Linked DNA regions of Arabidopsis thaliana. The protein of the gene in region 1 interacts with the protein of each later gene in a biochemical or structural test. Each region holds a gene or a part of one and is shown in the gene's direction. Other genes may lie near its edges. The genes, in order: CIPK15, ERF7 and ABI2.

Region 1 (10,537 bases):
ATTATAATAATAAGACGATGGAACACAAAATAAACTAATATATGAAAAACATTTTATAAAATTTCAACGTTTTATTTTCCAAATTTTGCAGCGGAATTAGCAGAGGAAACATCTGCGGATTCCGAAGCAGGAAGTGGATTGTGATCTCTGAATTGGGTAGTCAGCAGAAGAGTCGAAGGATGAAAATCTTCGCATGACATTCCTTTCTGTTTGAAACTTGAACAGATCGTACTCATTTTCGTCGATCAACACTCTCTCCGACAGAGATGGTGGTGATGAAGCCGACAGTTTCTTAGCCTTACCATTGTGATCGCCCGATAGCCAGAAGAGCCTTGTCGGGATTAGTGCGAGGATTTTCTTGGTGGACTTTTTGGAACGGCGGCGGATTTGGTCGCCGGAGAAAGAGAAATGAGACGGCGGAGGAGTGAGAGGTGGCAGAGTAGGTAGCTCAGAGGAGGGGTGTTTGGGTGTGCCTGGATGAGATTCCCATTCGAAAGGGACGGCACCGGCGGCTCCGTCGTAGTAGTAGATTCTAAAGGAAGGACAAGCAGCTGATACCGACGAAAAACGTTGTTTGGTCGACGGTAGCTTACCGGAGAAGGTGGCGGTGTCTTGCTTTTTCAGTGAGAGTGAAGCTGCCCGCTCAGATCCCGCGTTTGGCATTATTGTCTTGGGAGAGTGAGAGAGAGAGAGGGAAGGAAAGAGAGGGAGAGATGTGTGCATGAGACATATGGAGTCAATCTATCATGTATATATGGGTGCCTGGTGTCTTTGGTACGGTTTTTACTTTTGGGCTTATTTGTTTGGCTTTGGTGTCTATAGAAACTATATATTAAAAGCAAAATGTAATAATTAATGATAGTGAAATAATAGTTTCAATAGTGCGGTTAATTAGCTCTCATAGTTAGAACTTATAAAGATACATCTCGAAGTGTGTTGGTCCAATCCTACAAAGGCAATAACCACTCGATGGATATATAAAGTCATCACAACTTATTAGACCCTTGAACACTAAGTAATGCTACCGGGTACAAAAGAAAACACTCACATATGAATAATGAGGAGATCTAAATACGTCATACTCAAGGCAAGATATTTGTATCACATGTATATAGCAATTAACGATTCATCCATGAGAATATTTACATTACAAGCCAACATATACATAACTTCAACACAAACATGTCATTGATGAGTAGATTTTATTAAGAAAGGTGTGGTTATTGTAGAAGCATTTATTTGGAGAGTAGATAGGACCATTGATGAAAACAATATGAATTGAATAATTGGTTTTTATCTGATTAAATTGGAAAACAGTGTATGACTAAACGAGCCACGACCCATGCATTCCTACATGTGCTCCACATACCTCCGAGCATTGCTTTCCTTAGTATATACACACTGATAGACCCCATGGTCGGTCCATTCTTTTGCATTAATATCTTTCATGTGATATTCATATACTCGCTCCCCTCATCAGAATTTACATCTCTTCGTTAAAGGTTAAACAAGAAGACATAATTACATTTTCTTCCGTCCATTAAAGAAAAATGAGAGATTTTTTTTTTAAAAAATTGAAGGTCTTTAAAGTATTGAGAACCGTGACCTATTTATAAGGTTTAAAACCAACAACCAAATTTCTCATTTGTTGGGTTGTGAAAGATAATTTGGCGAATATCATACAAATGCGATTAATTACGGTTTAAACATCTCCATTAAGGTATTGACAGTATCAAAATAAGGAGAAGAAAATGGAACAAACAATTTTGTCCAGAGGTGTATAAACTTGGAGTATCATATTCTTATAGCAGATGAAATAAAATACTAGTTAGTTTATTTGTTTGGAAAACAAAATAGGTAATGTGAATATAGATTTTAAAAGTAATTTTGATACTACAGCCCTTTAATTAGATTGAAAATAATAATAATAATAAAGAAAGGACCAATCATATGTTTGACAAAAAAAAGGGCCAATCATATAATTCTGTTACCATGGATCTAAATGAGAGGAGACTCTTGCTTTTTCACAAAAAAAAAGAAAAAGAGAGAGAGAGCAGCAACCCCAGCAGCATCGAAGATCGTCGATCGTCGATCGGTTGCTCTCTTTCATTAATCAGATCTAATTGATACCCAAGCTTCTTCATCGGAGGCCGTGTAAGCTAGCTTCTTCTTCTTCATCTTTTCGTACACTTATTTGATTGTTGTTTATGTATCGATTCTATGGAATAAGAGCTTTTAGCACATATTAATTTGTCCCCAGTCTCGTCGTATATGCAGACCTATTTAGCGCTTATGGTTTGATTTAGATCTGTTTAATTTAGCGTTTCAACCTAAAATTGTTGACAACTCAAAATCGGAATCCCCCAAAAAGTGTCTGTTGACTTATGAATATGGCCATCTCCAAATCGGTTTTTGATCCATCATCATTAAATTTGGTAATATATAGATCTCACGAGGAAACATGGGCGGTAGATTTGGAGTCCTCCTAGTCCTCTTCCTCTTGAGCTGGTCTTGTCATGCTACAAACCCGATTCTTCTCGAACCATTCGGTAAGAACATTTTTGAAGGCATCTAGAGTCTCTCTTGCACCTGTTTCTAATTCAAATTTGTTAAAATCTGTTCACTGGATTATTTGAATACGTTACGTTTTCAGAAAGCATTCAATCTGATATAGACATCCTGATGTATGTTTTTTTTTTTAATTGGGTTTAAGAAGTTTGCTCCATATAATATTTGTGTTGATCTCCTATGTATGATTGTTTCGTTTGCAGAATCAGCTCATGATGACAACCAAGTCTGTGAACTATGTGACAAGTATGTCACGCTAGTCATTGATTACCTTCAAGACTACGACAACCAGAATGAACTCGTTGAGGCCCTTCATATCAGCTGCTCTCAGATTCCTCCTCTCAAAAAACAGGTCTTCATTGAGTCCTTGGTTGTTTTTGCTTTCTCTATTCCTTTTCTCAGACGTGGTTATATGTTAACTATGCCCAACTCATGTGTTTGTTGCAGTGTCTTTCAATGGTAGATCATTACACCCAACTTTTCTTCACACAAGTCTCTACTATCAAATCAGACCAAATCTGCAAACGGCTTAACCTCTGTCAAGCTGTGACACCGGCCTTTGCCTCTCAAGTCCATCAAGGAAACTGCGAGGCTTGCCGCGAGACTGTCTCTGAGGTTGTCACCAAACTCAAGGATCCTGAGACTAAGGTTTGCTCAACCTTCATTCCTTCTATTATCACATACCTATTCTGTGTCGCAAACCTTAGGCTTAGCACTAAGAATTATATCAGTTAGAGATATTTATTATTGCTGCTGAAGATTGACTTTTGCCTTGTGAATGTTGCAGCTGAAGATAATTCGGTTACTTCTCAAGGAATGCAAGTCGCTTAACAATTACCAGGACAAGGTAGCTAACTAATAAAGAATGCCCGCAAAGCTCTCTCTATTTAAGCTGAGTTTTGTGATACTTTTATGGATCATCATCAGATAATAACAATGTGTTTGTTTATGATGGTGAATAGTGCAAGAAGATGGTATTCGAGTACGGGCCTCTGATGCTTACGGATTTGCAGAAGTTTCTGGAGAAGAAAGACGTGTGCACTATCCTCCACGTCTGTCCAGGTCCAGCCACCCACCGTGACTACGTTCCTGCGGTGGAGTCATTGGCAGATTCGTAAATTCGGCCACCTTGGTTTTGTCGTCATTCACACTAATACCATGCCATGATCGTGATGCTAATTTAATTTGGTAACCCGGTGGTCATGTAAATACTGATTGATATATTAAAAACATAACTACACGATTGATGATTCTTGTGTGATTTGAAAAGAACGCTGTCTAAAGGCCCATTGTCCATCGATGGGCCTTTTTGCTAATTTCTACATTGCCCATGTTGTGTAGTCTGATTTTCGCTAAAACGTTACGTTGATGCGTGTACTCAATCACTCGCCCACCATTTTCTTCTGTGAAACAGTTGGCAAAAGTTAGGGGCCGCCAAGCTGGTTTAAACTGACCCACAAGCGAATAAATGTCAGACACGTGTAAAGGACAAAGAGAGCAAGTGTCACCGTATCTATAAAAGCTAACATTAGAGGATATTCTTGCTTACGTGTGACATCGTCACTGGTACATATCATCTAAAGGAATCTTTGATCAACACTACTCTGGAAAACAAATTGTATACTATTTATAAATCTGTTGACTGTATGTATATTCAGAATTATGTGATTGATTGACTAAAAGCGACTGATTTTTAACCTTTTATAATACAAACAGAACAGTGTACATATCCAATGTAGTGAAACAAATCCTTTTATTGGGAAATAAAATTAATTTTGTAAATGAAAATTTCGTTAAAACAAACCTTAATGCTTATCGTATATTTATTTAGCTTGAAAACTAAAGAAAAGATGTAAAAAAAAAAGAACTAAGTTTGGTTAGTGTGTGTAATGACGATGAAAGATGATGAGAAGTGATAACTTATTTTAAGGGCTAAGAACAACAACAAAGTTGATTATTAGAAGAAAGAAATAATTAAAAAGCAAATTGCAAACAGCGAAAAGAGAGATGATGACAAAAAATGGTTAGTAACGGCCAAAAGGTAAACAGGTTGGCTGCTCTTTGTTTCCATTAAAATTAGTAAAAATTCCGAGAATGGCATTTTCGCAATTCATAGATATCATCAACTTGTGTGTTTGTTGGCCGATTATAATATAAAGGAAGGGAAACTCTTCTTCTCTTTCTTCTCATTTTCTCTCAATTCCTCGCAGCTGAAGCTATTTGGCATATACTTGTCTTCGCTTTTCGTAGCTCTTTCGCGCATAATAATAACTGAGGTAATTGTTCGATTCTGGTTCGCAGCGGATTTTGTCGATGCTATTGAGGAATCTAGATTTCTGTGATGGATAGATATAAGACATATCTTATGTCTCTGTTCCGATTCGATCTGTTTGTTTCGTTCCTAGTTCGATCTACTTAGATTTCGTCCCATGTTTATAGCTCTCAATCGCTTTGAATCTTGTCTTTAGTGTTCGATTTTCTGGTGTTTAATTAGGAGCAAACTAGATAGGCCTTCTTTGTTGATCCTGTCATTAATGGTTTGCTCTCTATGTTTCAGGTTGTTGTTTAATCAAGAAGAGTGTGCAAAAATTGGAAGGCCAGGGAATGCAGAAACATGTATTTGAAAGCTGAACTCAATTGCTCTACACCACCCTCTCAGATCCTTTGTCCCTTTGGGCCCTTGTTCTCCCTCATCCCTTATGTGGACACCCATTTTCTAAACCCCTGCTTCCACACCTTCCAGCCTTCCTCTCACAATGCTAGAAAAAACGCCACTTGGAAGCATGATCTTTGCGAAGACGGTTGATCCGACACTAACAGCCTCCTCCTGAGTTCCTCCTCTACCCTTTATGTTGTCTGCGTTTTAGTATATTCTAGGGTGGTCTTTTTATTTAGTGGTATTAGTAGTGCTCTAAGCTAACCAGTTAGTCAATGGAGAAGAAAGGATCTGTGTTGATGCTCCGTTATGAGGTTGGGAAGTTTCTCGGTCAAGGTACCTTTGCTAAGGTATACCATGCTAGGCATTTGAAAACTGGTGATAGTGTAGCGATTAAGGTCATCGACAAAGAAAGAATCCTCAAAGTTGGCATGACCGAGCAGATTAAGCGAGAGATCTCTGCCATGAGACTCTTGAGGCATCCCAACATCGTTGAGCTCCATGAAGTCATGGCCACCAAATCTAAAATCTACTTCGTCATGGAACATGTTAAGGGTGGTGAGCTCTTCAACAAAGTGTCAACTGGGAAGCTGAGAGAAGACGTTGCGAGAAAGTACTTTCAGCAGCTTGTACGCGCTGTTGACTTCTGTCACAGCCGTGGAGTATGCCACAGGGACCTGAAGCCGGAGAATCTCTTGTTGGATGAGCATGGGAATCTTAAGATCTCTGATTTTGGTCTCAGCGCTCTTTCTGACTCTAGAAGGCAAGACGGGTTGCTGCATACTACATGCGGGACCCCTGCATATGTTGCACCGGAGGTGATAAGCAGGAACGGGTATGATGGGTTTAAAGCGGATGTGTGGTCCTGTGGAGTGATATTGTTCGTCTTGCTCGCTGGATATCTTCCTTTCCGTGATTCCAATCTGATGGAGCTGTATAAGAAGATAGGCAAAGCTGAAGTCAAGTTCCCCAACTGGCTTGCTCCGGGGGCAAAGAGATTGCTCAAGAGGATCTTGGATCCTAACCCCAACACAAGGGTATCAACTGAGAAAATAATGAAGAGCTCTTGGTTCCGTAAAGGCCTACAAGAGGAGGTGAAAGAATCAGTTGAGGAAGAGACAGAAGTGGACGCAGAGGCAGAGGGAAACGCAAGTGCAGAGAAGGAAAAGAAGCGGTGTATCAACCTGAACGCGTTTGAGATCATATCTCTGTCCACGGGGTTTGATCTCTCGGGACTGTTCGAGAAGGGAGAGGAGAAGGAGGAGATGAGGTTTACATCAAACAGAGAGGCATCTGAGATAACAGAGAAGCTGGTGGAGATTGGGAAGGACCTTAAGATGAAAGTGAGGAAGAAGGAACACGAATGGAGGGTGAAAATGTCGGCTGAGGCTACAGTGGTGGAAGCGGAAGTGTTTGAGATTGCGCCGAGCTATCACATGGTGGTGCTAAAGAAGAGCGGTGGAGATACTGCTGAGTATAAGAGAGTCATGAAGGAGAGTATAAGACCGGCTTTGATCGACTTTGTATTAGCTTGGCACTGAAACATATTCTATCCTTTTTATGTGTCTTCTTCTTTTAGAATGTTTTTCTTGTTTTGTTTTGCCAATGTGTTTAGTTTATGTATTTTCTCTTGAGTCTCATCTTAAGACGTGTTTCGTATTTTTCTAGGTGTCAGTGTAACAATAATAATATGTGAGGACCAATTATATAGTTTGAGACAAAATAAGTAGATTTCTTTATCAGATAAAATAAAATAAATTGAGCCTTAATGAAATAAGCCAATAGACCGACAACGGTTTTAGGAAGCATTATACTACTATTTTGTAGTTATTTCGTATTATTGTAGTCTTTTGGATGATCTTTTTGTGTATTAACAAAGTCAAAACAAATTTATAATTTAACTTACGTTACAGAATTTGTTAATGGTGTGTTTTCTTCTTCTATTTTTTTGGTAAGAAATGGTGTTAAAAAAATGAGAAAAAGAATCCAATGGTAAGATTAGTGTTCATACATGTATTGGAAAATGACAAAGTGTCTTTATTGGTTGGATGATTGTGATTGGGCCAATTCGAGAAGACGACTAAAATGGACAAGCTCATTGAATTCACGGCCTCCAGTGGACCACGTTGGCCCATAATCGGATATACACCATACATTTATCAGTTGGTCAAATCAAAACCTTTTATCATAGAGTGCAGAGTATATTTTTCTAAGGGTTTTGCTTAATCCGCTATCTTTTAGTGGGCCAACAACTACAAATTGGATTGAAGGAGAACCAAGGAAACCACCCAATTTAAGACTCTTGTCTTTTCGTAATCTAACCAACATAACGTGCTCGTCAGATTTTTGCATTTGTGTGTTTCCTACTTTTCCTTTTATGCTCAACAGGATAATTAGTTACATATAACCACAATTAAGGAATTAATTAAAGCATATTAAGTGCTTTAAAAGTGTACGATGTGATTGTGTATATAGTAAATTGGATAATATATAGATCGTGGAGCCTACAATTATTGCATTGAAAAGGTGATATATATGTTGATTACAGTAATTATAACTGCTGAAGCTGAAATTAATGGATTATGGATGATTGGATTCAATGTGGATACCAAGAAAAGAAAATGATTGATGAGAATTATTGGTGTATGATCTTATATCACAGCCACATGCGATAGGATTATATAAAGTCCACTAGCTATATATCTATTTTAATAGTATATTTTTACAATGATGTGATAAGGACAACCTCTTACTTATCAAAAAGGTGAAAGTAGATCAGTTGTGTTAGTTCATGGCTCAAATCTTGACACTTCTTTTTACATAATGACAAAATTAATAGCAGAAGAAGACTGTGTTTTATGAGTTGTTAAAAATTACATCTATATGTATGTTAAATATCATGTTGAATAGTTAACTAATCCTTAAGTAATGGTTAAGTTAGAGTGTCTTGTACACATAGCATTACTTCACATCCACGATACGTTACTAATGTATTATAGTGGCCATTTAAAACAAGTAATACATTTTTTTATATTTTATTTTTCATTTATATAAAATATAATTATGATTACATAACAAGAAGATACATACTTGCCAACTAAAAATTAAGATTTGTCGAGAAATTTCCTGAATAATTATGTCAGAGATATTCTCCGGGTAAAAAAAAAAGCAATTACATATAACCCGGGATATTTTTTTTTAATTATTATTTGGATAATTTATTTGACAGATACCTAAACTACGACGTCGTATGTACTTGAGTTGGTTCTGGGTCCGTTTGGTCTGATTCGTGCACAAGCTCGACGAAGAAAGGCCTGAGTGTATCTGTCCATAAATCTCGTCCAGATGCAGCGGCTCTTTGTCTCTTCCTCACCTCTATCATAACCAGCTCGTCCGTTAGCTGGTTTATCTCAACCACCATTGCGAAGTTACCTTTTTGCCCCTCGATCTTCATCCCCCATGTTTCCTTCTTCGCCACCGTCAGATTCTCCGCCGACACGATCTCCTCCAGCCTCTCCACCACCCTCTCCGCCGTCCACGCCGACACGAACCGTTCCACTCGGTCGTACTTTCTGGCGTCTCCGAAAAGACCGGAGAGATTGAACCCTGGAGATCCTGAGATGATGTCGAATGCGTTCATCCTCCTTGCTCCCATCTCGCTGTCGGTCTCGTCCGCCGGGAGTTTCATATCGGAGTCCTCTAGATGGAATTTAGACATCCGATCGTCGTAGCCCTGTTTGAACCATGGATCGTGGATGATCTCTTCGATAGTGATCCTCGTCTGCGGATTCGTGTCTAAAAGCCGAGTCAGCAGTCGCCGGAGATCCGGTGAGGTCCACTTGGGAATGCGAAATTCTCCCTTGTAGATTTTCCGGTACATAACCATGAGATTATGGTCGTTGAAAGGGAGATAACCGGCGTTGAGGACGAACAGTATGATTCCACATGACCATATGTCGATTTTAGCACCGTCGTACCCTTTCTTCGCCAAAACCTCAGGCGCCACGTACGCCGGCGTACCACAGAGTGTGTGGAGGAGGCCGTCGGGTCGGATCTGATCGGTAAGAGCGCTGAGTCCGAAATCAGAGATCTTCAAATCGAGCTTCTCGTCGAGGAGGAGATTCTCCGGTTTGAGATCACGGTGAAAGATGCCGCGGGAGTGGCAATATCCGACGGCGGAGATGAGCTGCTGGAAATAACGACGGCTAAGATCCTCGCAGAACCTGCCCTTGGAGACTTTGGCGAATAGCTCACCGCCCTTGGCGAATTCCATGACGAAGAAGATCTTGGATTTGGTGGCGAGGACCTCGAACAGGCGCACGATAGAAGGGTGGCGCAGACGGTGCATGATAGCGATCTCTCTCTGAATGTTGCCATTGAGTCCTCCTTTCTGCAGCCGTTGCTTGCTCACCACTTTGATCGCAACGCTCTGACCCGTCGCTGTGCTCCTCCCGTGGTACACTTTCGCGAAGGCGCCGCATCCCACCAATTTTCCGACCTCGTATTTGCCGAAGAGCTGTCCACGGCGGTTCTCCGGCGGAAATTCCACCGGGTCAGAATCTACCATTAAAAACAGAATCTGCTAGGTCAATTATGGTACACAGAAACTGAGGTCATTGCGAATGAATCAACGCCGTAGAAAAAAAAGAAAAGAAGTCTGAGAGAGAGAGTGTTGTTATTAATAGAAGAAGCGAAAGGAAAATTAGTAGTTTGAAAAGTAAAAAGATATGAACAAAAGTAACAGATATTTAGAGAGATCTGTTAGCAGAGAAAACAAAAGAGAGACAGACAAATTGGGAGGATTCGGATAAGAGATAAGCCATGCTCTGTATCGAGTTGTTACATATATATTACTGTCTTGAGGTAGGAGATGAGGGTATTTTTGTCAATTACTATCAGATTCTTTTTCCTTATTTTCTTCTTCTTTATTTTCTTTGTAAAGACGTGGGAGATTTTCTGTTTTGTTTTCTTAATATATCTATTAAAAAAAGAAGAAGAAGAAGATGAAGATGTGGACAAGAAGTTGAATTAGAACCATACAGGTGTCCCGTCGCTGTTGTCGTGTTGATTTGGTATCTCCGAGGGTTTAGGCTGTAGAATATACTCATTTCACACATATACGCTTCGTCGTATCTTCGGCTATTTGCTATAATATTATTATTACAAGAACATATAAACATGTTTCCTCCAATATTGTTGAATATTATTATTTTATGGTCAACTCAAAACGGAGAATTGTTCTTTCGACTAGCCTAGGCAGCTAGCTCTAGTTAGTTAGTAATTCAGCTAACCACTGCTTTGTTTAGTCATCAA
Region 2 (10,537 bases), on another chromosome or scaffold:
ATCATCACTTACTTCAGCCACACTTTGCGGCGCCTCAGTTTTTCCTAAAGCATTAGCCTGCAGCTCTGAGTTCCCTATCAATCTTCCCAGCCCTTTTGAAAGTTCAAAGATTTGTTTGACTTCGTTTCCTGCCTCTAGGGATCTCAAGAAAAATGCTACTTTGAATCTGACTCGAAATGTTGGTCCAGTCAGGTGTCATGCTATGCAAGCTGGGACGAGGGAGTTGAAGAAATTTGAACTTAGTGATGTGATTGAAGGGAAACAGTTTGATAGAGAGATGCTAAGCGCTATATTCGATGTTGCACGCGAAATGGAAAAGATAGAAAAGAGCTCTTCACAAAGTGAAATCCTCAAGGGTTATTTAATGGCTACCCTCTTTTATGAGCCTTCTACCCGTACCAGGCTTTCATTTGAATCTGCTATGAAACGCCTTGGAGGTGAAGTCTTAACTACTGAGAACGCTAGAGAGTTTTCGTCTGCCGCGAAAGGGGAAACACTTGAAGGTACCATCTTAGCTAGTATCTCATTATTGCTGTGAAACATGTTGAGTGTTAGATTATTTACGGAAATTTTTGGGGCATTTTTCAGACACAATAAGAACAGTGGAGGGTTATTCAGATATAATTGTGATGCGACATTTTGAAAGCGGTGCTGCAAGAAAAGCTGCAGCTACTGCCAATATACCTGTCATTAATGCAGGTGATGGTCCTGGAGAGCATCCTACTCAGGTATGTTGTGTTCTTAACCTTTAGTTTTTTTCAATTGTCTTAAACAAACATTACTTTACATCCTTGTTTCTTATTTCTGGTTCTGTTACTGTTGTGAAGGCTCTATTGGACGTCTATACCATCCAAAGTGAAATTGGAAAATTAGATGGCATCAGTGTAGCCTTAGTTGGAGACCTTGCCAACGGAAGGACTGTGCGGTCTCTTGCATACTTGCTTGCCAAGTTCAAAGACGTGAAGATCTACTTTGTTTCCCCTGAAATTGTGAAAATGAAGGTTAGTAGCACTAAACTTGCCACCCTCCATGAGAGAACCTGAAGAAGATGGTTTGGTTTACTCGAGAACATCATTGTGTATGTTCCTTACCATTTTCAGTGTGTTCTTTTAATGGTAGGATGATATAAAAGACTATTTGACATCAAGCGGGGTTGAATGGGAAGAAAGTTCAGATTTAATGGAAGTAGCATCCAAGTGTGATGTAGTTTATCAAACACGAATCCAAAGAGAGAGGTTTGGAGAAAGGCTGGACCTTTACGAAGCAGCTCGTGGGAAGTATATCGTAGACAAGGATCTGTTAGGAGTGATGCAGAAAAAAGCTATTATCATGCATCCTTTACCGAGATTGGATGAAGTAAGTTAAGAAAACCTCTATTTTTCATATATGTACCGTGACACAATCCTCACTCTTTGTATTTCTTATTGTGTAGATCACCGCAGATGTTGATGCTGATCCAAGAGCTGCCTACTTCAGACAAGCAAAGAACGGTTTGTTCATTAGAATGGCTCTTCTAAAGCTACTGCTTGTCGGTTGGTGATTGGATAGTTCATGGTCGTTAAGTTAAATCCTTTAATGGACTGATTCTCAAGCCTACCATGAGCTCAAGGAATCTGCAATAATAAAATCCGAAGCTTTAGTGATTTTTGAGTGTTAAGCACAAAAGCTGTGATCTTGATGTTAATTAAAAGAAGGATCTGTTGGTTTGTTGGTTAAAAGACTGATATGAGGAAGAGTTGTTGAACTTAATGAATAAATTGATTTGAGCTATTTTTCACAGTTTGGCCTACCACTTCTCCAAAGGACGAAACATTACAGTGAACAGAGAAAAGTTCACTTTCGCTGTATATTTTTCTGATTATCACGGAAATGCCCTTGCTTCCTTCCAAATTGGCTTAAGATTAACTGATTAAGCCTTTACATTTTCGAAATTAGGTGATTAATAAATTACTTAATTAATTATGATTAATGATAATCACATGGGATTTTCCGTCTTTTCTCTTTACCGTCTAAATCCCAACAACAAAGCCTTTGGAGAAGCTATTCTCAGATTCACGACACCAGTTCGTCACAAGCTTCGAGCCCAGGTATTCTCTCTTTCGCTCAAAAACCCTAATCTCGACTTATAATTCGATCGATAAAGTAGAAGCTTCACGCAATTCACATGTTCTCTATCTTCTTTCTAACTACAGCTCGGAAAACAAAATTGGAACTTGCTGCATAAAGTTTAGTTTTTTTATTGAATTTGGAAGGATGATTGGGAATCCAGTAATTCAAGTTCCATCATCACTAATGCCATCATCCTCCATGATTGCTTGTCCTCGAGTTTCACCCAATGGGGTTCCTTATCTTCCACCAAAACCTAGAACTAGGCATTTAGTGGTCAGAGCTGCATCCAATTCCGATGCTGCTCATGGTCAACCATCGTCTGATGGGGGGAAGAATCCTCTCACCGTTGTTTTGGATGTGCCCAGGAATATATGGAGACAGACTTTAAAACCTTTGAGTGATTTTGGGTTTGGTAAGAGAAGTATTTGGGAAGGTGGTGTTGGTTTGTTTATTGTCTCTGGAGCTACTCTTCTTGCTCTTAGCTGGGCTTGGTTGCGAGGTTTTCAAATGCGGTCGAAGTTTAGGAAATATCAGACTGTGTTTGAGCTTAGTCATGCTTCTGGTATTTGCACGGGAACACCGGTTAGGATCCGTGGGGTTACTGTTGGTACGATTATCCGTGTTAATCCTTCCTTGAAGAATATTGAAGCTGTTGCTGAGGTATGATCTGGTACTTTGAATCTGGTTTTGATAGTACATTTGTTTTTGAAATGAGGGTCGTGTGTTATGTTTTGCAGATAGAAGATGATAAGATTATTATCCCGAGGAATTCATTGGTTGAGGTGAATCAGTCTGGTCTTCTAATGGAAACTATGATCGACATTATGCCTAGGAATCCGATACCAGAACCTTCAGTAGGACCTCTGCATCCTGAATGTGGTAAGGAAGGTCTGATCGTTTGTGATAGGCAGACAATAAAAGGAGTGCAAGGAGTTAGTTTAGATGAATTAGTTGGAATTTTCACTCGTATTGGACGCGAAGTTGAGGCCATTGGTGTTGCCAATACGTATTCGCTTGCTGAGAGAGCTGCTTCGGTTATTGAGGAAGCAAGGCCATTGCTCAAAAAGGTGATATGAGTAATTTTGGTGGTCTTTGTTTAGATCTTGTTTACAGTATTCAAAAAGAATCGATAGGTGAATTTCAAGATTGGAAAAAAATGTATTCTCCTGCTTATGCGTTGGGTTTTGATGTAGTGATGTCACAGATTCAAGCCATGGCTGAAGATGCTCAACCTTTGCTCTCTGAGTTTCGTGATAGCGGCTTGCTCAAGGAAGTTGAGTGTCTTACTCGAAGCCTTACCCAAGCTTCTGACGATTTGAGGTAATAGCTCTTAGTGGAACAATCTTGGCATATCGACTGTATATCATTATGAATATTTTGAATTCCATAGTGCAAATGCAAAACTCTTTCTGCATCATGATGAAAGCAGACCTTACGATAGATATAAGCACACTAGCTTCAATTTCTCGTATGTGGCTTCAACACTCTATTTGTGGATTAAGTTTCTGAACAAGAGATGATGGTTAAAAAGTTAAAACACATACATATCTATGCATAAATGTGTCTTATCTTATGGGTTCCATGTTAAATTAACTGCTTTGCTCATCAGTGCTTTTCAATCTTTCCTCTATTGTCTTAAAATTTCAATAATTTATCTTGTGTTGCCTCTACTTATCTTCTGCTAGCCTACTGTTTCTGTCACTTAATGTATGTTCCTGGACCACATATATGCAAAAGCTCGTTTACTTACATACGTATGATCAACTGAGTGATAACTGTGATTATGAGAACCTATATTCTTGCAGTAGACAGCAAAAATATAATTTTCATTTTGGTTACATTGCAGAAAGGTTAATTCGTCAATTATGACTCCTGAGAATACAGAACTCATACAGAAGTCAATCTACACTCTGGTTTATACTTTGAAGAACGTCGAGGTAAACTTTTTTTTCTTCTTATTCTATCAATACCAGCTTTGACAAGTTGGAAGAAACAATGTTAACAAAGACTTGGTTTTTGATTTTCTTGATTGTAGAGTATAAGCTCAGATATTCTGGGATTCACAGGAGATGAAGCCACAAGAAAAAACCTTAAACTACTCATCAAATCCCTAAGCAGGCTACTATGATCAGCCTGTAGATTTTAGACTGGATAAATAAAATCCAGAATTTTATGGTAAGCAAGTTTTAAAAATTCGAAAAATGTGTTGTTTCTTCTTTAGAGTTATTTTTGTTTTCGTTTTGTGTTCTGAGATTGGGGTTTAATGGAGAGACATAATTCAGTTTTTATAAGAACAAAAATGTTTGTTTCTCCACATTAATGCGTATCCTCAACACGGCATTTACTTTTAACACGGGAGACGACGACGATGCCGATAAGCGCGTCTCGTCTCTTGTAGGGTCCCAAAGGAAGGAGAAGAAACTAATAATAATTTCGAAGAGGGGTGTATTATTAAATAAAATAAAATAAAATCTGGAGGGTGTTTTTGGTCATTACAAGTGGACTATTTGGTCTCTAGGTGCATCAATTTGATAACAAACAAACAGTAAGACATAAGATTTTATTATATAGATTGTGGTCAGGGTCAGGACAGAGAGTGCAAGTGCTTACCCTCTTTTACTTTCTTCGCATTTCGAGACATCTCTTGTGAACTCTTTTTTAATTTTTTGTTTTTTTTTCTCCACACAATATATCGAATAAAAAGTTTAAAGCAAAAGAAAAAAAGAATCCAAGTTAGGAAAAATGTTACTCCATAATTAAATTTTTAAAGAAACGAATTGGTCGGTCTTGTGGGTCGGGCGTGAAGGTAGAGAAAAAATCGAAATTAACAACCAAAAAAAAAAAGAAAAGAAAAAGCTATTCCAACCATAAATTATTATTTTAATTAATTTATTAAATGAAAATTCTTTGAGTAAATTATTTAGAAAAAAAAAAAGAGAATTATAATAATAATTTCCAATCTCTACCCTTTGTTCCTTCATCTTCTTCCTCATCTTTCTTCTCTCTTCAACATTTTCTTCTCTTCTTCACACAAACACACACAGATCTCTTCTTCATCACATTACTTCTGGCTTTACATCTTTTTTCTTCTCCATGAGGAAAGGGAGAGGCTCTTCCGTCGTTGGACCCGCCCTTCCAGTAACCGCCGGTGGATCTGTGAAGGAGCCGAGGTATAGAGGCGTTAGGAAGAGACCTTGGGGTCGATTCGCAGCTGAGATCCGTGATCCATTAAAAAAATCTCGTGTCTGGCTCGGTACTTTCGATTCCGCCGTAGATGCTGCACGCGCTTACGATACCGCCGCACGTAACCTCCGTGGTCCAAAGGCCAAGACCAATTTCCCGATCGATTGTTCTCCTTCTTCTCCTCTCCAACCTCTCACCTACCTCCACAATCAAAACCTCTGTTCTCCTCCGGTGATTCAGAACCAGATCGATCCGTTTATGGACCATCGGTTATACGGCGGAGGTAATTTCCAGGAGCAGCAGCAGCAGCAGATTATTAGTCGGCCGGCGAGTAGCAGCATGAGCAGCACCGTTAAATCTTGTAGCGGACCGAGACCGATGGAAGCCGCGGCGGCGTCTTCGTCGGTGGCGAAACCGTTACATGCGATTAAGAGATATCCGAGAACTCCACCGGTAGCTCCGGAGGATTGTCATAGCGACTGCGATTCTTCGTCGTCTGTTATTGACGACGGAGATGATATCGCATCTTCGTCTTCCCGCCGGAAAACGCCGTTTCAGTTTGATCTTAATTTCCCGCCGTTGGATGGCGTTGACTTATTCGCTGGCGGGATAGATGATCTCCACTGTACCGATCTACGTCTCTGATTTGCTGCTTTACAAAAAAAATCCGTTGATTACACACAAAAAAAATTCTCAAATTTTACAAAATGATAACTTTATGCTCTTTTGTTTTTCCATTTTCCTTTGATATCATATTGAAAGAGAAAAAAAGGAAGAACAAAAAAAAAAGATTGAGCGTGATGATTTTATCATCAACGAAGATGATGACGATTAAAAAGAGAGAGAGATTGTGTTAAGATCTGTTACTGTAAGAACCAGATCTGGGTTTCATTTTTATCTGTTTCTTCTTATAAAAGATCCAACAACCCTTTGTTACATATATATAACATTCTGAAGCTGGTGATGATTTCTGAATGATTCAAATCCATTATCTTTAGATTTCTACTTATTCATAGAGTGTCCCCTGATGTAAGTAGGAAGCTGCATTTACATAGTATGTAACAGAACCACACAGGGCACAAGTATTTGTTTGTGTTTTGTCTCTTGGCTTGATCTTGATCAATTCAGGGTTTCTTCTATTCAACAAGTAAAGCTTAGTGGTTCTCTGAGATGGAAGCAATAAAAAGATGAAAGGAAGAAAGACGGTGAAGCTCCTTTGCTATCTAATTGGGTGATTCGAAGAGGAAGTTAGAATACTCATTGTCATTGTTAAGCCTCAAGTTTTCATTCATCAGCGAGGAGACAAGAAAGGCTTTCCCTTTTGTGTACCCAATGAATATTTTGGATGGTGAAGAACATAGAGATTAAGGGCATGGTCAATGGGCGGTGAGTGGTTTTGTTGTGATCGATAAAGCTCAATGAGCACAGGCCAAATCTTTAGGTTAAAGTTTGGTGGCTGAGATGATTGTTTTGATCTTTAAGAGCTGTGGGTTGAGGTGGCAGAATTCGTTGTGTGTTTGACCTTTTTGATTTGAATTTGCTGGTAGAGAGTTTTCCCAATTTTGGTATCTACTTTGCTTCTATGCCACGGATTCAGACAGTGAATCTTTGTGTCTGAAGCAAAAACCGAGTATTTTTTTACCGTTTTGGGGTAGGCTTCTTCTTAACTTAAAGTGGAAGTCAAAAGCAATGTCTTGTTATTTTCACTGTAACGATTTAAGACAACTGATCTCAAGTCGCTTTTCCTGTTTCGGTTCGTACTCTTAATAATCTTCTATTATTCTGGAGTTGAGATTAATCCACAATGTTACTTTTTACTTTTACAACCTTTCGAGAATTCGGTTGTTCGGCTTTGAAATGATAGTTTCTCTCCAAATGATTCTACATTGCTATTAAATGAGAACAACTTGGTCTAATCTTTAGTTATTGAAGATAATTCTAGAATTAAGGAGAAAATTAATATAAAAAACTGTTGAGACAAATGGATTCATTAACAAGACAATGGATAATGAATGGCTTGGACATTACACTTGAACTAAGGAGAAAAAGAAGTGTATGAGCAATTAACAAGGCAAATGGCTAAAGGTTAACTAGACAAATGGAGAAAGGTTAGAGAGTATTATACAAAATAACCTGGCCATCAGCCAATCACTGGTCTAAATAGGAGTGCATTGTTACAATTGTAAAATCATCAGTCTAAGAAGAAAATAATAAGTTCACAAATAGCTAGTCTTGTTTTATTCGCTTCCAAAAGAGTTTGGCTAGCTTGTCGTCGTAGTTGTCTTATTTTCATCTTAATCACACAATATATTAATTGTCGGAAAACGAGACTTTGAAGTTATAATAGACGCCTGGAAAACTCATTTAAATTAATTGATTAGAAGTAGATTACCGGTTTGCGTATTACTAACTCAACGTGTTTATCTTTATCAGCCCACAAAAGCTTGTACTGGTTACTAATTTTCTACGAATTTAATACAACAATTCAATATTCACAAGACAACCACTTCAACCAAACCCCTCACTTTGCATTTTGTTTTTCTTTATAGAGTATAAGTTATGAATCTTGTGTGTCTATAAACGTTTTGAGATTTGGAGACACGTACGCCGAGTGAATTTATTCTAAAATTTACTATATTGTTTATTTTTAGAGATTATTTGAAATGTAATCGTTAAAGTTTTTGATTTGTTATCTCATTATACATTCTCTATTATTTTATCACAGCTTTTCAAAATTTCTGATCCATCAAGTTAATTATAGCAATCTAATTTACATTTTACATATGGGATTTAAATAAAAAGTTAAGAAAAAGAAAGATAACGAAAGAATATATTTCCAGGTTTGACCAAATCAGGAAAGCTGTGGTTCTATAGTTCTTGAAACTCTTTATATATGTGGGGGCTAATAAAGAATGATCAAAATCTTGAATTTCAAACTGGGTGAATACACGTTGCTGATACTTAAACGTGTAAAGACGTGAATCACTTTTTATGTACTACTACTAAATTCAAAGGCTACATACATTAGAAATAAGCAAAATCAATCAAATGTTGCAAACCAATTACTACTATCAACTATGATGAATCCTGAATACCATTTTACTATGAAACTTTTAACACGATTAAACATAATGTTGCTCTTTAAATGATATTTTTTTTTCTTTATCTTATGTGGTCTATACTCTTTAGCAAAGAAAATCAAGCATTGTGAGATGTTCGTTTCTACTTCTAACTTTCTAAGGGTAAAATGCATATTTTTCACGTATTTGTATAACATAGAGATTGAAAATCTTCAAAAAACTAAAAGAAGGAGTATTAAATCACAAGAAAGAAGGTTTAAATCAAAAGTATAGTTGCGTGTAAATTTAAATACAGCAAACAACAGAAAATATTTTTGGTCTGCGGTTTCGATTCTTCAACAAACAAACAAACAAAAAATAAAATAAAATAAAAAAATAATCAAACGACTCAACATTTGATTAAGAGATGTAACAACATTTATCGTATAGTAATTGGAATAATGAAATATTCTCAAAGTCATGAGGGCATATAAAAACGAATGCATAGACAGCCACTCATAAGATCACAAGTAATAAAACCAAACCCATGATTCATTCGAATAATTGACAATTAATATACTTTATACTATAAAGTATATGATATTCCTCATTTTGATAATTCGATTAATCTTCAAAACCTTTAAACTTTATATACTCATCCTTCCAATAAACTCAAGACATGCCGCCGGGTATTTAAAATTCTAAGTAATCCTTTACTAGTTTAGCTGATCTAAATAATATCTTATGTTTTTGTTTTTTTATAAGAAGACATCAAAATCAAAATAATGGTACTTATAATTATATTAGCAACATACGTGGCGCCGTAAGTACGGAGATATGCGTAATCTACGGCCTAAATTTTACACATCACATGTCAACGTGGGACCCATTCTACAGCCTGTGTTCACTTCACCAGCATCTTTTCATTTGTTTTTATTTTTGCCTCTTTCAGTGTTTACAGTATAATATTTTGTCACTGCCACGTAAACCTATTTCCGCCGAAATATGGAAATATATCAATATGCAAATTTTGTTTTTTTAAAGAAAAGAATAATTAGTATTTAGTGTATTTAATCTGTAATATACTTAGTAAAACCTTTTTAATAGATAAATTCCATGAATTTCAAACTAAAAAAAAAAATTCATCCGAGATACACTAATTTACATGTTACAGTACTAAGGTATATAAACAGAAATAAAAATCTATGATCTAATGATGATAATACTTTATTAGCAAGTAGATAGACCCCGTGATTGTGAAATCATGGTTGTCGCATGAACACAAAATCTACTTTCCTTTTTCGTTTTTATCGTGAATCAGAAAAAATCTTTCTTACAATGGAAGTGCACAATTTCGTCTCTACTTAATCCCCAAATTCTAAACTGTTTGTTCAAATATCCCCTCATGAATCATAGAGCAGAAAAACCCCAAGTCACTAGTATTATTGAAAATGTAAATATTCGAATAAAACAGAGCCAATAAGATACAAAACATGTACATCTTAATACGAAATATTGTAGTAATTTGTTTTACGATACTAAATTACAATTTAAATACGGTTGTCAAATCCACCTAAACATCGATCCTTTATAAATAACCATAAGACAATTTTAGCCATTCCTGATTCTGTCTTCTCCTTCTTCCAACCGCGTCATCAATTTATATTTAGACAACAAAAAAAAAAAAAGCCAGAGCCTCTCCGGTAATTTCTCATTTTCCCGAGCGATCGTCCATGGCGGACATCGACATCGGAACCGCAGCAACAACAGGAGGAAACGAAGGAAGAGGAGGCACACGAGAACGTCTAATAAACCGAGAAAACAAGTTCACACGTAGCGTATCTCACGCACAAGACGAGCTCCACAGTTTCCGGAAATATCTCCGATGGATGTGCGTAGATCAGTCGAGTCCTTGGACGGCGGTTCTATCATGGTCTATGTTCGTTGTTTTCACGCTCGTTGTTCCTGCCACGTCTCACTTCATGCTCGCTTGCTCTGACTGCGATAGCCATCACTCTAGGCCGTACGATTCCGTTGTTCAGCTTTCTCTTAGCAGTTTCGCTGCTCTTTCGTTTCTTTGTCTCTCCAGATTCGTTAGCAAGTATGGTCTCCGACGGTTCCTATTCTTTGATAAGCTTTGGGATGAGAGCGAGACCGTTCGTCTAGGCTACACCAATCAGCTCAAT
Region 3 (10,537 bases), about 23 Mb from region 1:
TCAGGTGTCTCGTACCTTAGCTCGAAAGTTGACAGCATAACAGAAGCTTCTGATGGCCTTAGACTTGTTGCTTGTGACGACAATAACGTCATTCCCTGCAGGTAACAAGTCAGCTAGTACTATTCTGGTTTTACCACTACGAAAAGGTTCTGACTTCTAGCAAATGCAGGCTTGCCACTGTTGCTTCTGGAGCAGCTTCGGGAAAGCTCTTGCAATACGAAGTTGGTGGACCTAGAGTCTGTGTGCAAACTGCATACGGCGTGGAGGTTGAGGTATAATTTGAATATGATATTCCACAGCAATAACTATATGGAGGAATCATTGTTCATTGAGACTGTTTTTCTATTTGAAATCTTCAGGTGGAAAATAGTCCATATGATCCAGATCAAATGGTTTTCATGGATTACAGAGATTATACTAACGAGAAAGTTCGGAGCTTAGAAGCTGAGTATCCAACGTTTCTGTACGCCATGCCTATGACAAAGTCAAGACTCTTCTTCGAGGTTCTCTTTGGTGTTTCTCTCTCCTTCTAGTTAAATCGTTATTGTGATAAGTCTGTTGCTCATCAGCTGGAAATCCTTTCAGGAGACATGTTTGGCCTCAAAAGATGTCATGCCCTTTGATTTGCTAAAAACGAAGCTCATGTTAAGATTAGATACACTCGGAATTCGAATTCTAAAGACTTACGAAGAGGTAAGAATTGGTGGTCCTATATCAACATAGAAACTTCTTATTTGCTTTTTTAATTCGTTTAATATAAAACTGTAGGAGTGGTCCTATATCCCAGTTGGTGGTTCCTTGCCAAACACCGAACAAAAGAATCTCGCCTTTGGTGCTGCCGCTAGCATGGTACATCCCGCAACAGGTAGTAAGAGCAAGAAGCCTTGACCCGATGTACTTTTATTCACATCTTGAATCTGTACCATCTCTGACTTAGCTTTCCCCCAATTAAACAGGCTATTCAGTTGTGAGATCTTTGTCTGAAGCTCCAAAATATGCATCAGTCATCGCAGAGATACTAAGAGAAGAGACTACCAAACAGATCAACAGTAATATTTCAAGACAAGGTGAGCTCTATATAAACCACAAAGTTAACTATGCTGTTCTTTCACACAATGAGAAACTTTTAAAACTTGTGATTTTCTATTTTTTGGCAGCTTGGGATACTTTATGGCCACCAGAAAGGAAAAGACAGAGAGCATTCTTTCTCTTTGGTCTTGCACTCATAGTTCAATTCGATACCGAAGGCATTAGAAGCTTCTTCCGTACTTTCTTCCGCCTTCCAAAATGGTAAGCAAGACACTGATTCGTGATTCATAACAATGTTACTGTAAACAAGAAAATTGATTCTTCTTTTCACTTACTCAGGATGTGGCAAGGGTTTCTAGGATCAACATTAACATCAGGAGATCTCGTTCTCTTTGCTTTATACATGTTCGTCATTTCACCAAACAATTTGAGAAAAGGTCTCATCAATCATCTCATCTCTGATCCAACCGGAGCAACCATGATAAAAACCTATCTCAAAGTATGATTTACTTATCAACTCTTAGGTTTGTGTATATATATGTTGATTTATCTGAATAATCGATCAAAGAATGGTATGTGGGTTACTAGGAAGTTGGAAACAAACATGTATAGAATCTAAGGAGTGATCGAAATGGAGATGGAAACGAAAAGAAAAAAATCAGTCTTTGTTTTGTGGTTAGTGACCGAGAAATGTTTAAATCAACAAGAGTAAAAATGTTCAACACATGCTTTTAATTTTTATCAATTTATTTCGCTTATATTGTTTACGATTGCCATTTATTTTAAATATGATCACTTTCGTGTTCCTAAGTGCAAATTACTCAATAATCTATACACATTATTTATAAACAAGAAACTGCTAATTTTGGATTAGTGAAACTACAAGTGGTTAGTGTGCCGTCTTTAATCATTAATCTAATATTAACAAGAACAGAGAACAAGTATATGTTCGTTGCATCACATACAGAATCTAAGAACAAGCACCACATAATTATCAATTAAATTAATCAATCCAATGAAACTTCTTCTTAACCCTTTAAAAAAACAATTACTAGTCAATAAAATCACTTCTAAATTCGCTATTTGCACATTTTATTCAAAATGAATTATATATCTTTATTAATGTCAACCCCTTGAAATAATATAGAACATTCTTTCTAATATTTTTCTCACAATTATATCAATTAAAACCTTCAAAATTATCAATAAAACGACCATATCTTAAATTTCACAAAAATATAAGTCCCAACATAACAATTTTTTCGAAAAAGACTTTTCTAATAAAGTAGGCGCTTTCAATTTTCACAACAGTCAATAAATACATCACCCACTTTTTCTATCCAAGTCAACTAAAAACGCGGGTCTTCTTCTCCAAAACCCATTTCCTCACAAAATCCATCTGAGAAAAAGAGCAACAAGTTTCATTTTCATGGTGGTGATGACGAACAAATTCTTCGAATTAATCGGCGGAGCTCCGTCGTATTCTTCAGTATCCGTCGCTGTTAAAGGATCCGTCGGTGACGCCGTAGGAGGAACTGCTAGTCGTCGTGCTCTTCGTTGGACAATCGAAAATTTCCTTCCTAAAATCGATAGATTAGTTCTTGTTCATGTCATGCCTACAGTTACTACTATTCCATCTCCTTGTAAGTCTCGATTCGAATTTTTTTGTTAAATCAATTTCGAGATTCATGAAAATTTAACACTAGTTTTTGTTTGATTTAAAAGCTGGATCGAAGATTCCAATAGAGGAATTGGATGAGAGTGTTGTGTCTATGTATAAACGAGATTTGAGAAAAGAATTTGAACAAGTTTTTGTTCCGTTTAAGAGGATCTGCAAATCCAACAAAGTGAGTTTCTGTGAAAGCTAAATTTATGATACTGATTTTGGAAGTTTTGGAGAAGGCTTATGGAATAATTTTACTGGTTAAATGTTTAGGTTGAGACTTTGTTGTTGGAACATCATGATCCTGCAAAGGCTCTTTTGAAGTATATGTCAGATACTGATGTTGAGTGTTTAGTGATTGGCTCTTGCTCTTCTAATTTCCTCACAAGGTAATGTTACATAATGGGATTTGATATCTAGTATGTGTTTGTATATGGTATGATCTTGCTTAGACGTTTGGATTGGTTTTGACAGGAAAAAAGGACAAGAAATGCCATTAACGGTGCTAGGAGAAGCTCCAGAGACATGTGAGATATATGTTGTTTGTAAAGATAGAATCTTAACCAAATCGACGAATCAGTTTACCGCAGGTATGTTTCAATTGCATTGATCTAAAATCTGAAGTCAAGAAGGAAAAAAATACAAGTTTTATTGATTTCCCCTGTGGTTTTTGTTTCTGTGTGAAATTTTCAACAGATTCATCATCTAGTTTCCGTATACCAGAAGGAGCTGAAGCTTATACAGAATCTTTCAGTCGCACACGCTCTGATAAGACAGGGTTGTCTGCTTCATCTATAACATCTTCAGGCAGGATGAGAATTGGAAGGCCTGGCTCTTTACCGCATAGTCATCCGACCTCTCGAGTGTATTCTGATGCACAGTCTTCTTCAACTGATATTGTTTTGGTCGATGACGAACACTGTCGTTCTATCCTTAGGCATAGTACTGTTTCCACTAGTAAAATACAGATGGATCCTAGACCTCACTTAAAAACACCAAAGGTGAAGCATTTAATATATGACCATTTTGATTCTCTGTGACACAAAATGCATATGATTTTGATCCAAGATCTGTTTTTGCAGTCAGGTGTAAGAGCTGAGGTAGAGCAGCTAAGGAAAGAAGTGCAAACCACTCTTTCCATGTACAAACAAGCTTGTGAAGAGCTAGTTCATAAACAAACACAGGTTGGAGTTCTAGAAGAAAACTTTTTTTGTTCTCGAAATCCTTTCCTAATGTTTTTACATCTTATGGATTCATAAACTCAATCCCATGTTGTGACCTCAGGTCCAGTCTCTTTCCTCTGAGTGTATCAAAGAAACAGAAAGGGTCATCACTGCTCTGGAAAAAGAAGAAATGCGAAGGAAAGCAGCAGCAGAAGAGAAAGAAAAGCATCTAAAAGCTGTAAAAGAAGTCGAGGAAGCAAAATCAATGCTAGCCAAAGAGTTCTGCGAGAGGCAATTAGCCGAGCTAGATGCTCTCAAACAGTCCATAGAGAAACAGAAAGTCATTGAGCAACTCTTCTTGAGAGACGGGCGATACAGAAAGTACACAAAAGAAGAAATAGCTGCAGCTACAGATAATTTCTCTTCCCGTAAAATAATCGGCGAAGGAGGATATGGAAAAGTATACAAATGCAGTCTTGATCATACCCCAGTAGCTCTTAAAGTTCTCAAACCTGATTCTGTTGAAAAGAAAGAGGAATTCTTGAAAGAGGTAAATTACTAGTAGTCTCATGGCCTAATAACAACAGCAGCCTTTAACACTCTGAGATCTGAAATCAACTATTTTACTTTGCAGATCTCAGTCTTAAGCCAGCTTCGTCATCCCCATGTGGTTCTTCTCCTTGGTGCTTGTCCTGAAAATGGATGCCTTGTCTATGAGTACATGGAAAATGGTAGCTTAGATTGTCACATCTCTCCCAAAAAAGGGAAACCATCTCTCTCATGGTTTATCAGATTCCGAATCATCTATGAAACAGCTTGTGGTTTAGCTTTCCTCCACAACTCTAAGCCTGAGCCCATCGTCCACCGTGACCTCAAACCAGGCAACATTCTCTTAGACAGAAACTTTGTCAGCAAAATCGGTGACGTTGGACTCGCAAAACTCATGTCAGACGAAGCACCAGACAGTGTGACGGTTTACAGAAACTCGATTATCGCCGGTACACTCTACTACATGGACCCGGAATACCAACGAACCGGCACAATCAGACCGAAATCAGATCTTTACGCATTTGGAATCATAATTCTCCAGCTTTTAACCGCTCGACATCCCAACGGTCTTCTTTTCTGCGTTGAAGATGCAGTAAAGAGAGGCTGTTTTGAAGATATGTTAGATGGATCAGTCAAAGACTGGCCCATAGCCGAAGCGAAAGAACTAGCTCGCATTGCAATCAGGTGTTCGCAGCTCAAATGCAGAGACAGACCAGATCTTAGCACACAAGTCTTGCCTGCTCTCAAACGTATTCTTGAATCTGCAAATAGTAGACTCAAGACAGAACAAGCTAACGCACGAGCACCAACTCACTATTACTGTCCAATTCTTAAGGTAAATCGAATAACCGATGCACACCAACCACAATTCTCGATGGCTCAGGTTTTAAAATGTTTGATTCTGGTTGATTGTAGGAAATAATGGAAGATCCACAAATAGCAGCAGATGGATTCACATACGAACGAAAAGCGATAAAAGAATGGATTCAAAAACATCAAGATGTGTCTCCTGTTACTAAGCATCGGCTCAAACATTCTGATCTTACACCGAACCACACTCTCAGATCGGCTATACGAGAGTGGCGATCTCGTTCACGCTTAGACCTCTCCACTACTCTTGGCTCCTACTGATCACACTAATATATATACAGTCTAGTCTAATTCGTATATTGACTAAATACCCTGAACTTGTTTGAATCGGGTGTATCATCTCTGTGAATATGTATTGTGGTATTATATAATAAGTCAACAAGGATTTGGTTTGCTTTTTGCAGTTCTATATGAAGAGCATTTACAACTGATAATCAAGTGAAAGTTTAGAGGATTCATCTACAAATAGACTCAAATCAAACTTGGGTGAACTCAAGAGCGTTTGCGTCTGGATCACGAGTAAATATCGCTGGCCTCCCTGACTTACTCATTGTATATGCAATTCCTACAAAATCAAAAAATCTTCTTCAGAACGAAAGGAAACATCCTTTAAGCCAAAAGAAACTAAGAAGAAAGAATAAAAAAATATAAACTACCAGCTTTGTCTAAGATCTCTTTCAGATTTGAAACATCACGGATTGCAATACAAGCGTGTCGATCCCGGCCTCCGTGCTCGGGTCTACCTGTTAATGGATCTGGATTTGGAAGCTCCATAAGATGAATCATTTCTGAACCTACCCATAACCATGCTCCTCTATATGGAAGCTTGTCGTGAGGCCTTGCTTCGTTGATCTCAAGGCCTAAAATGTTCTGGTAAAACTCGAGTGACCGTTCTAGGTTCTCGCAGAGCAGACCGACATGATGAACCCCAACAACTCCATAATCTACAATAACAATCAACAATCAAAACTGGTAATCCGAGCTTAGTGTCTATAGATAAATGGTGACATTTGCTTAAAATGTTGTAACCACTAACCAGCAGACAATCAACACAATTACTTATTATCAGTTAATTACCGGTTTTGTTGTTAAGCTCTTTCTCTTGTACAACACTAATCCCTTCAATTGACGATCCTTGTGCCTTAGCCTTCAAGCTATAAAACCTAACATTGATCCTTTCTTTCCTCACACTCTTCTTCTGAAACTCAAACCGCTCTTTCGTAGAGAGATTCGTGCAAATAACCTTCCAAATACCAAAAAAGATTCATCATCAATGATCAATCCAAGGTAAAGTAATCGATTTTGAATGATACTCACAATCCTAATTTCTCCTTTTAACTCAATTACTTGAAAACTAAAGAAAAGAAGCCCTTAATTGCCAAATTTACAAGATTAGCGTCTAGGACTATCTCAAGATCATCCAAAAGGTAAGAACCCTAAACAACAATTTCTGGAAATCGAGTAACCTAACGCTAGGAGTGAATAAAGAAGCTTATTTGTTTGATACCTTTGGTCGTAAATCAAGTGAAGCTGAAGAAGGTCTGAAAATAGAAGCCATGGAAGAGAATCTTGGATTAGGCTCTCAACACAGGAGCAAGAGTTTTTTTTTGTCTTTAAAGTAATGATTTCATGTTTTTTATTTTCTTTATTGGCCAAGAAAATTAAGGAGAAAAACAAAACCTGAGCCACTCAGCCACATAATCACTGGGAAAATCAATTTCGTATTGTCTCGAAAAATATAATTGTTTCAACGACAACAAAAAATCAAACATGCGGTGTGGTGGCAAAAGTCAAACGTTTATTTAATGAAAGTTTATCAGAGAATCGATGGGCCTAGCCCAGTCCAATAGGTGATTCACGTCTCACTATTTTTGCAGCTTCACAAAAATGGTAAGTTGGTAACTTACTATTTCGAGCGAAAATAACTCAGTAATAACTTCCAGATTCGTCAAATTTCTCTTACCTTGTAATGAAGTTTAGATGTTTTAGCTTTATGTATAAAAATTTAAGAATATGGTCTAATTTTATATAATTTTCTTATTATCATTTTGTATTTGATATCATATTGACAAAATTTAACAAATAGATATTAGTTGTACTTCTATGTGACCGCCACTTTATTCAATACTACCTTTTAAGTTTTAACAGATCCGTGTAGCAACTGATCATCTCAAAATATGTGACACATAGTATACTATACAATATGAGCTGGTTTTGTTTTTTATTTTATATCGAAAGATATTTTACTTTATCTGACAGCTGCGAGAGATCCTAAAAAAAATGAATTAACTTTAAAGAAATTGCATGCGTCTATCTATCTACGTATATCTCAAAAATAAAAATAAAATCAAGGTCACATGACTCATATCCAGTGAATAAAAAATATTCATGAAATCGTAAATAAATAAATAAAAACAGAAATTCATATATACGTTTTTAGTTATATAACTATACGATTGGTTCAGTGTATTTGTTGCCCAACCAAAGCTACTTTCACTTCACATATCATTACATGGTCCAATGATTATGGAACACGTATTATTATTTTTGTTTAAAAACAAGTAAATAAATAAAACAGACACCAAATAAAAAAGGAAACACAAAGATATTTACGGAAGTTAAAAGAGAGGTGTTGTCTATGTCAGTGCAATGAACCTCTTCGGCTCATCTTTTCCCGCCATCCCAACTAACAGATCTCTCACCGTACACGCCATCCTCTTCACCAAATCTAATGACTTTCTCTCTGTCTACGTGGCGATCATCCGGTCTGTTTTCCGACAATAATGGGACCCATTTGATTGTTATTTCGAAAATGATTTTATTTTTCTTCAATATTGTTTTTTTCTTCAATATTGTTTTGGAAGTAAAAAGAATCATCTGTTGACAACACAACACTTCTTGCCTTCTCGAGTTTGATTCTCCTCCTTTCTGTTTTTGGTATCCACCCGATTGTCATTATTTTATTTTGAACTCTAGAACCAAAAATATCAGAGCAAGCTCTCTAGTCAGTAAATTTTGTAATTATTATAGTACCTCATTTTTATTAGTAGCATTAATGTACTAGTGTGGTCAGTGTAGATGAATATATTTTCTACTAAACTAATAAAAATTGTATCATAATTTGTATATTTTTTGGTGTTTTCATCTTTTACTATAAAATATATTTTTGTGACATATGGCATGTTACACTAAACAAAAAATAAAATAAAAGAAATTTGTTTTTGTATAAAATAAGTAAATTACGTTTTTTGTCGACCAATTTTGATTAAAGCTCAAAAGAAAAGAGCAATTCCTAAGAGATATTATTTTTATGTGAAATAAGTAAATTACTCATTATGTAAAAAGTTTGGATTTATCTTAAATCTAATTTCATAACGTTTAATGCAAGATATTTTGGTAAAATAGGAAACGTATAAAACATCTGTATTCAAAACTTCTATAAAGATACCCAATAATAATGGAGGGGTGACACGATAGTAAATAGAATAAGAAATAAAATTTAATCAAGTCAAAATAAAATAAATACCCTTTGTTTTTGTTTCCACAATTCCTTAAGTCTTTCTAATTACTTTGTTGTTCACTAAAACATCTCACATTGTGCTATTTTTTTTAATAAATAAAGACCTCTCTCTTTAAAACTGATTATCCCCTAAACTATTTGTTTGTGAGAAAGAAAGAGAAAAAAAAGTTTTTTTGGTTGGAAATTAATTGAGGGAGAGAGAGAGTTCAGAATCTCTAAATGGCTGAAACGAATTGCCCAGAATCCAGGAAACTCTGATTTTAGTCCTTTTTTCCTCGGGAAAACGTTTGCTTTTTCTTTTTTGTGTGTGTTTGGTTCTTTAATTGACAAATCTCTCTCTATCTGTTTCATGTGCTAGCTAAGGTTGTCTTCACTTTCCTCTAATGAGTCATGAGTTTCTTGTCTTCATCTTCATCTAATAAAGTTAACAACACTCTCATCAATTTTTATTATGTTCAAATCTGTCTGACTTTTCGTTCTTTTCTCTTACACCCAAGCGTTTTAACAATCTAACATCTGTCTCTTTGAATACTTAGATATCCAACTTCAATTTCTCTCCTTTCTCTTCCCAACTTTGATTCCTGATTTGGGTTTTTGTTAAAGTTCAAGAAAGTTCTTTTTTCTTTTTTTTTCCTCCTTTAATGGACGAAGTTTCTCCTGCAGTCGCTGTTCCATTCAGACCATTCACTGACCCTCACGCCGGACTTAGAGGCTATTGCAACGGTGAATCTAGGGTTACTTTACCGGAAAGTTCTTGTTCTGGCGACGGAGCTATGAAAGATTCTTCCTTTGAGATCAATACAAGACAAGATTCATTGACATCATCATCATCTGCTATGGCAGGTGTGGATATCTCCGCCGGAGATGAAATCAACGGTTCAGATGAGTTTGATCCGAGATCGATGAATCAGAGTGAGAAGAAAGTACTTAGTAGAACAGAGAGTAGAAGTCTGTTTGAGTTCAAGTGTGTTCCTTTATATGGAGTGACTTCGATTTGTGGTAGACGACCAGAGATGGAAGATTCTGTCTCAACGATTCCTAGATTCCTTCAAGTTTCTTCTAGTTCGTTGCTTGATGGTCGAGTCACTAATGGATTTAATCCTCACTTGAGTGCTCATTTCTTTGGTGTTTACGATGGCCATGGCGGTTCTCAGGTAATGAATCGATTTGGTTTCGATATGATATGATCGGAAACTGCAAAAACTTGGTTTTTGACATTTGTTTTTGTGTGTTTAGGTAGCGAATTATTGTCGTGAGAGGATGCATCTGGCTTTGACGGAGGAGATAGTGAAGGAGAAACCGGAGTTTTGTGACGGTGACACGTGGCAAGAGAAGTGGAAGAAGGCTTTGTTCAACTCTTTTATGAGAGTTGACTCGGAGATTGAAACTGTGGCTCATGCTCCGGAAACTGTTGGGTCTACCTCGGTGGTTGCGGTTGTCTTTCCGACTCACATCTTTGTCGCGAATTGCGGCGACTCTAGGGCGGTTTTGTGTCGCGGCAAAACGCCACTCGCGTTGTCGGTTGATCACAAAGTAAGTATAGATGTTTCTATGAATGAATTAGTACAATCATATATTCATTAGGACTTGCGGTTTTTTGTTATGGTGTTACCAATCATAGCATGTTTCTATAGATTAGTTAATGTACTTATAGCGTTTGGGTCTACATTTATGTGTAGCCGGATAGGGATGATGAAGCGGCGAGGATAGAAGCTGCCGGTGGGAAAGTAATCCGGTGGAACG

What was found.
Region 2: the proteins of CIPK15 (region 1) and ERF7 form a complex in vitro, tested with the Arabidopsis thaliana proteins (one study listed by BioGRID).
Region 3: the proteins of CIPK15 (region 1) and ABI2 form a complex in vitro, tested with the Arabidopsis thaliana proteins (one study listed by BioGRID).

The regions. Positions count from the first base shown.
Region 1 is NC_003076.8:304,961-315,497, forward strand, and holds CIPK15 (CBL-interacting protein kinase 15), read left to right. Parts: upstream 1-4,413; 5' UTR 4,414-4,844; intron 4,845-5,125; 5' UTR 5,126-5,499; coding exon 5,500-6,765; 3' UTR 6,766-7,137; downstream 7,138-10,537. Other genes in the region: AT5G01790 (uncharacterized protein), read right to left, coding at 97-723; AT5G01800 (saposin B domain-containing protein), read left to right, coding at 2,462-2,549, 2,772-2,920, 3,016-3,216, 3,356-3,415, 3,531-3,686; SR1 (serine/threonine protein kinase 1), read right to left, coding at 8,463-9,791. UniProt on the Arabidopsis thaliana protein: CIPK serine-threonine protein kinases interact with CBL proteins. Binding of a CBL protein to the regulatory NAF domain of CIPK protein lead to the activation of the kinase in a calcium-dependent manner.
Region 2 is NC_003074.8:7,081,357-7,091,893, reverse strand, and holds ERF7 (ethylene response factor 7), read left to right. Parts: upstream 1-4,999; 5' UTR 5,000-5,202; coding exon 5,203-5,937; 3' UTR 5,938-7,167; downstream 7,168-10,537. Other genes in the region: PYRB (PYRIMIDINE B), read left to right, coding at 1-503, 589-728, 828-1,001, 1,120-1,356, 1,433-1,540; ABCI15 (trigalactosyldiacylglycerol2), read left to right, coding at 2,254-2,769, 2,847-3,176, 3,314-3,429, 3,956-4,046, 4,145-4,237; AT3G20300 (extracellular ligand-gated ion channel protein (DUF3537)), read left to right, coding at 10,085-10,537.
Region 3 is NC_003076.8:23,078,285-23,088,821, forward strand, and holds the start of ABI2 (Protein phosphatase 2C family protein), read left to right. Parts: upstream 1-8,837; 5' UTR 8,838-9,435; coding exon 9,436-9,948; intron 9,949-10,030; coding exon 10,031-10,327; intron 10,328-10,473; coding exon 10,474-10,537. Other genes in the region: LUT2 (Lycopene beta/epsilon cyclase protein), read left to right, coding at 1-101, 170-272, 360-503, 586-693, 769-865, 957-1,067, 1,158-1,290, 1,369-1,534; AT5G57035 (U-box domain-containing protein kinase family protein), read left to right, coding at 2,459-2,672, 2,755-2,876, 2,966-3,081, 3,167-3,282, 3,389-3,693, 3,775-3,876, 3,977-4,405, 4,490-5,239 and 1 more; AT5G57040 (Lactoylglutathione lyase / glyoxalase I family protein), read right to left, coding at 5,751-5,839, 5,931-6,218, 6,352-6,517, 6,782-6,832. UniProt on the Arabidopsis thaliana protein: Repressor of the abscisic acid (ABA) signaling pathway that regulates numerous ABA responses, such as stomatal closure, osmotic water permeability of the plasma membrane (Pos), high light stress, response to glucose, seed germination and inhibition of vegetative growth.